Linked DNA regions of Drosophila melanogaster. The protein of the gene in region 2 binds, or shares a complex with, the protein of the main gene of each other region. Each region holds a gene or a part of one and is shown on either strand. Other genes may lie near its edges. A codon is read from its position in the direction of its gene.

What was found. Proteins that work in one complex are often made in the same cells at the same time.
Region 1: the proteins of Ilp5 (region 2) and ImpL2 are in contact, whole or in part, in a crystal structure (PDB 6FEY), measured with the Drosophila melanogaster proteins. Residues at the interface, in NP_996037.2 of Drosophila melanogaster: Cys92 (codon at 888), Cys93 (codon at 885), Ser96 (codon at 876), Cys97 (codon at 873), Ser98 (codon at 870), Phe99 (codon at 867); in NP_728961.2 of Drosophila melanogaster: Ser116 (codon at 1,020), Ile118 (codon at 1,014), Leu186 (codon at 810), Trp236 (codon at 660), Tyr260 (codon at 588), Val262 (codon at 582), Leu263 (codon at 579).

Annotation. Positions count from the first base shown.
Region 1 is NT_037436.4:4,224,351-4,227,950, forward strand, and holds ImpL2 (Ecdysone-inducible gene L2), read right to left. Parts: upstream 1,601-3,600; 5' UTR 1,543-1,600; coding exon 1,534-1,542; intron 1,357-1,533; coding exon 577-1,356; intron 502-576; coding exon 487-501; 3' UTR 360-486; downstream 1-359. Other genes in the region: CG46460 (uncharacterized protein), read right to left, coding at 2,331-2,426. UniProt on the Drosophila melanogaster protein: Essential developmental role during embryogenesis, in particular the normal development of the nervous system. May be involved in some aspect of cell adhesion.
Region 2 is NT_037436.4:9,822,642-9,825,726, forward strand, and holds Ilp5 (Insulin-like peptide 5), read right to left. Parts: upstream 1,257-3,085; 5' UTR 1,233-1,256; coding exon 1,070-1,232; intron 999-1,069; coding exon 835-998; 3' UTR 708-834; downstream 1-707. Other genes in the region: CG43897 (uncharacterized protein), read left to right, coding at 1,905-1,999, 2,162-3,085.

The sequences.
Region 1 (3,600 bases), 5.6 Mb from region 2:
GTGCTTCTTGGGCTGCAGTGCCCTTAAGTAAACGGCCAATTAGTTTAAATACGTTAACTAGTGCTGCCTGAATCGCTAGGAACAATCATTGCTACTTACAAAGAACCAAAGAAGCGTGATTACAAGCCGATAACTAAAGCTATAATTGAAGAAAACCATAAAGTAGGTGCTATAATTCGAATGCTCTAAATGTGACTGATATTCGAGGATAATAAGTGGGAAAATTAGTGTCTAAGCCGGCATTAGATACGGTTAATTACCTGGACTACGAGCTAGATTGTGCTTAATCTAAATTGTACATAATTGTAAATCGTATGACCTTTTGATCCATCATATTTTTTTTTGATTTTTTTTTTTTTGTATTTTTTCTAAGCATATTTCATTTCTTTTCACGCATCTTCGAAGGCATTTGATCTATCTAACTAACTAGATGAATTTCCGTCGTCAATCCAATAGCCTTTTGTTTTTTATTTGGTGGTAGGATCTTTAGTCTTCCTCATTCTGCAAGGACAAGAAAAATACGTAGGGATTACTTAGGATGAGTTGGTATAACCCGGCGGGTAGGGGAATACTTACAAGTACGGGATACACGAAGGTATCGGCGGTATCCTTTCCGACGACGTTGCGGGCTATGCACTTGTAGTTGCCCATATCCTCCCACTTGATCTCGGAGATCAGAAGATCGCCGTTGGCCAGCACCCTGTGGCGATGTCCTTGGACGATCTCCTTGTTCTCGTTATTCAACCAGGTGATCTCGGCGCGGGGACGGGCGTGCACGCGGCAGGGCAGCTGAATGTTGGAGCCCATGAGGTCCAGATGCGTCTTCTCGGTGTAGATGATTCGCGGTTTCTGGGCACCCGGGTAGGTCTTCTCCGGCGTCAGACGAGAGGAGCGAGGAGGATGCACCACAGTGCTGGCATAGATGGTCTTGGAGCCAGTGCGTCCCACACACGTGTAGGTGCGGGCCTCGCTCAGCACGTGGTCGATGATATGCGACGATCGGACGCGCACAATGGCACTGGGCGCCTCTTCGGCAACCTGGTTGGAGTCCAGATCATCGAGCTCCGAGCGGGGCAGGTGACCCACCACCCACTGGATGCTGGGCACTTGGGAGCCCATCATCTCGCAAACGATCTCGATGGTGGCTCCATCGGCCTGCTGCAGCTTCGTCGGCGGCGTCTTGGTGAACTTGAGCCAGTCGGCTTCGAAGGCTCGGTTGCGTGGCTTCTCCTCCTCCGCCTCGATGGAGTTATCCACGTCGTTGCTATCGTCTACCAGGTCCACGGCTCTTCCGCGGACAGTGGCGATGCTGCCGAACAGCAGCAGCGCTAAGGCGCACACATGTAAATTCATTTTCTGCAAGATCGATAGAGAGAGTGGAAATCGGAAGTGAGTTCAAAGTTCAACAGCGGCACTCGTACGACTCTAATATAGGTTATTAAACCCCAGAGCAACGTGATGCGATTAGCCCGACTTTTCAGCCAGTCATGCATCCCCCCACCACCCCACCACCCCACTTCCCCCACTCATCACCGCCTCCATTAATCAGGGGAGGTCTCCGAGTCTATTTCCCCGATAAGAACGCAAGGCCTTCAGTCGGCGGGCTCTAGAACATTACTAACACTTGCGAAATGTGCTAATGGCTCTCGGAGTCCGGAATTTAGATTCGGAATCCTTTTCCGGCCCCTAAGAGATGTGCTCGGTCCAAACGTAGATGAATGTATTTCACAATGACACGTCACCAGACAACAAGAATTGACAAAAGAAAATGATATAAGATTCTTGCGTGGGCCGAATCAGAGGCAGAAATCGAAAACGGAAAACGGAATGACTCGCGGAGTGTGACGTCAATTTAAATTCGAATTCTACAGCCCGATTCGGATTCACACACTCACCCACGCTTCAGCCGCAGATCAAGGGCCAATGTGTCCCCATAGTCTAGACTGGACAAACTGCGTGACCGATTAATTATTCAAATAGTTTCGAGGGTATTATGTATGTACATACGCTTGTATGTATGAATTAGTAGTAGCCCCACAAAAAGTCATTCGCCAATCGCTGGCGAATGTTGCATCAGACGGTCTTTGCCCTTCGACGGTGATTTTTGTATCTTTGGGCATTTCTACGAATTCGAATTTTGAAAAAAAAAAAACAAACGAAAAACGGAACACGAAACTGCGTTCGGCGGCAATCACCTATCTATTGTTAACGCACATTACTCACCCTTTGATTTGATTTCTTTTTTCTCTTCCGGTAAAAAATGTTTGCAAATTTCTCCCCAACGTTGGACGATGATAGATCAGGTAAAGCAGAAGCAGGTCGGCTTATCGTTATGTTATGAACGAATTTATCAGCTCTATGTTGTGATGGCTCCTGGTCTGGGCTTTCTGGTTGAAGTTGAGCAGCAGCTGGCTTAGCACTGACATAGGTCCGGCGCTGGATGCCGTCTTGGAGGTCGTGCAGCTCAGTGTTGGTGGAATCTTGGCTGCTTGCCGGTCTGTCTTGGGCGACGAGGATGGATCGTATTGAAACGTCTGGGTGCTGTGCTCGGGAGTGGCGCTTCAGGATCGGGATAAGGATCGAGTAATTGGGTAGCGGAAGCGTGTTAATCTCAGGCGGCGTAGCGAATATCTAGCTGACTACTTTGGCACATTCGATCCTCGTGGCGGTATCAGTGCTCCTTCGATGTGGACGTGGACTTGGTCTGGTACTTCTTGATGGTTGTCTGGTTGGCGCGGCACTCGTTTGAATACGCACGGTTCATCGACATTACACTCGAGTCAAGGTGTGTTGGTTTTTGGTTTTTGGGGGGGATTGCTGCTGCGAATGCGGTTCACGGCGAATTGAAAAGCGAGGATCGCGGATCGGCTTAGTTAACTTCGGATCAGTTGGCTTCGGCGGCTCTCAAAAGTCGTGTTCAACAGCTGGAAACTGTAACAGAACTGAATTGGTGGCCGCAGCGCTGTTCCATTTATATGCGACGCCGGCTCACTCACACACACACACAGACAACAGACACACACACACACACTCTCACTCACTCGCCGCTCTCTCTCTGCTCGTTCTCGGATCGTAATTCTTTATGCGACCGCCGCACCGGGAAGGTGCGGAACAAAACAGATATAACCGGACGGGGGGTTCGATTATCCGCCTCGGGATCTGTCTTTCCACCGCCTAATTGCGTCCGCAGTCCAGAGTTGGTGGTTTGGAAACTGAGGTGTCTCACAAGGATAGCTCAATGACTTTCCAGCCCATATACCATTTCATTTCGATCTTGACAATTAACATTGTCATCTTATGCAAGTTGTTGAGAACATACAACAGTGTTCGAGATCCTATGACTTTCTATCACATGTAAGTAAAATTAATTAACCCTACATATAAAGGTGCTTCACACTACTCTGTTAATATTCATGAATCATTTCGACGAAGTGCAAAGTATCAACCGTATATTATTCGTTTAGCTTACTGAATTAGCACTGTAGTTGTCAAAACCATTAATTAAAACTCCATGGTTTCGAATTCATTCGAACGAATTAATTTTGTAATCCATAACCAATCTCCCAATTAATAACCACCCATGGGAATCAGAACTTAAAG
Region 2 (3,085 bases):
CTATCTATTTGTCTTTATTTTTGAGCCAAAATGGGCCTGCGGCGAATGAGGTTGTCACAATGTTTACACTTCCTTCAAATTAATCAACTAATTAAAGTTGAGGCCGACAGATGTGAGTGATTTTTTGCCAAATGTTCCCAGCTAAAAGGTCAATGTCGGATCTAATGAGGAATGGCTGACGTTCGTCTTAAATTGCCGAAAAAGCTTAAAGCTTGGCGATTATCTCTGGACTTTGTCGTCCATAAATTCTTTAAGGTCTTATCTCAGCAGGCACATTTTCTTAGCTTAAATATTTCTGTTTGTTATCTCGTTTTGTTGAGGCAAAACATTTCGTCCCAGATTAAGATGATGCGTTGAAAGCAAAACATTTCAAGCAAATTATAATTAAAGTTGAAAACTCTTTTTGCCAGCTTAAAGAAAATCGCCAGGCAAGCGAAAGGCATAGTTTTGTTTGTGTGCAAAATTTCCACCCAACTTGCTGCGATTTAAATCAAAATTTGATTTTCCTTCCGCTCAAAGGAGCATATTTTCGTATGGAAAAAAATAAACATTGTTATAATAGAATTTGGATATATCAAAGTGTGTTTAAAATTGTTCATATTGTTCTTTTGCTAACCATTTAGTGTATCTGTTCACTTTTAAAGGCTAAAATTATTATCGAAATATTTATAATATTTAATGTTTGAAGAAATTAAAAAGCGATGTTTCGAATTGCGCTTATTTATTGTAGTTTCAAGTTTCAAAGCCGTGCATATAGTTTATACTTAATACTTTTACGTAACATGTCTCATATATGTATGTATGTAAACTGATGGACCAGGTATCGCAGCATTTTTAGGAGTCGCAGTATGCCCTCAACGTGGAAAAGGAACACGATTTGCGGCAACAGGAGTCGACAACGCCGCGAAAATCGCGCCGAATGCTCGACAGTGAGTTCATGTGGTGAGATTCGGAGCTATCCAAATCCGCCAAGTGGTCCTCATAATCGAATAGGCCCACTGCAAGTAAAATAAGTGAGTTCGTGCCGTTTGGAAACCCCAAACCCCAAAAAAACGCAGCCGATACTCACAGGTGCCTCGTTTGGCGAACATTGAATTGAATCCATTGGGACAGGCAACCCTCAGCATGTCCATCAAGGCGGGGCCACAAGCCCGCAGCGAGTTTGCGGCCTGGGCGGATAGCAGGAGCGGGATCAGGAACAGGAGAACTGGGATCACGGAGCGGAACATCATTGCCTTGCTGGAACTGCTGCTGGATAGGATGTGGTGCAGTTTCCGCCGCTGTCAGCCATTTTTATATCCGCCGGCGCACTTTCACCTGTCAGATTGGATTAGTCTTTTGGGGTCAGCGTGGGCAGGAGCGTACTTGCTAATTTTCAATGTCAGGACATCGCAGGGTGCTATCATTAATTTATGCCCATGGATTAGCGTAACTTTCGCTTAATCGGATGCACCAAGGGGGTGGCGGAATCTATATATAATAGCTGAAATCAAAATGTATAACGATATATATGGTCTTTAGTTAGAAGGGCTTTCATTTTCAATATGTTTAATTGGCTTATCGTGCAAATAGTGCATACGATCATAAGTTTGTATTTCATGAAATATTTAAGTAATGTACTTATTGTATATCTAAGAAAGTAAAGTCGTATATTACATTTTTGCCTGTTCACATGTATAATTCTATAACATATACCAAAAGAACGCATGACAATCGAATACATGCCTGCGAGGAGAGCATATTTAAAAATAAATTTAAATTTGGCGCTAACTGCTTGCAAGCAGTCGAAGCAGTGCGCCAAACACACAAGCAGTATATACCGCGAAATTTAAAATTTTACCTCATACAATATACGATGTGCATTGATTCTTACTAATTGTATTGTATTTTTACGTTATTTTTAGGATTGAAGTCGACGATCAAATAACGAAGCCCCTGAACTTGGCCAACTCGGCCGTTCTGCGCGCCGTCGAAGAGGAAGAACAACAAGCCAAATGTGGTAAGATATACCTCTCTTTTTTGGATATTTGTCTATGCGCGTTTATTTTATGTTGCCTAGACAAAAAGAAACAGTGTAGAAACATACAACAAAACAGCAAACTCCAGTCCCAGTGCTCGTCCAATATTAGTGTTTTTTACAGATAAATTTAAATAAATTCAGGGGACTTCCCCCACAAAGATTTTTACCCCACTGAAAGGCAGAGTCGCCCGCGTCAACGAGGCGAGGTGGATGCACTGCATCACACGCTGCACCAGCAGCTTCTGAACCAGATCAAAACAGACTATCTCAGTCATCAGCAGGACATCACTATCGATCGGGACACGGTGCTGAAAATCAACCGTCTGGCCACCAAGAGGCATCTGCTCAAACGGGATCACAGCTGGCCTCCAGCTGAGCAGGATCAACCAACTATCAATCCCGAACAGAGCCATCAGATCTCCTGCAGCCCATCGCACAGTATTGAGGCTCTGAGGGAGAAGTTCCAGAGTCCCACCCTGGTTATCGAACCCACTGCCAATGAAGTGAGAGAGCAGCGACGACGCGATGGTGGCTCCAAAGAGAGATCAAAAACGCTCCAAAAGCACACCAAAGAACCTGACCTGGCGGAAGTTTTCCATCAAACTCCCATATCCAAGGGATTCTCCGCTCCAGAGACCAAGGCAGCCGATGTGGATTTGGGTTTGGTGGCTCCGCGATGTGAGTACTACGAGCAATTGGCCCACAAAAGGTCCGCCACACCAACTCTGCCCACTCAAATCACTCCATATAGGCCAAGATACAAGAGACAGGCTCATTCCCTGGATCGTAGCCGCTCCCGGAAACGTACAGTGGGTGCTCCGGAATTGCCGCCACCTAAGCCGAGAACTTCAAAGCCAAAAGTCCAACGGCGGTGCATAAAACTGGCCACTGAGGTAAAGATCTCATATGGCCACGACGGCGACAGCGAGGATGATCCCAATTCTGGTCAAGATGTGGATTTGGAGACCTTGCCGCTGCCACCGACACCGGTGTCGCCAGCTGCCGCAAATCTCAATCAAGCGAAGACAGCAGGGCGAATGGTAATTGACAACGTGGCAGTTAAAC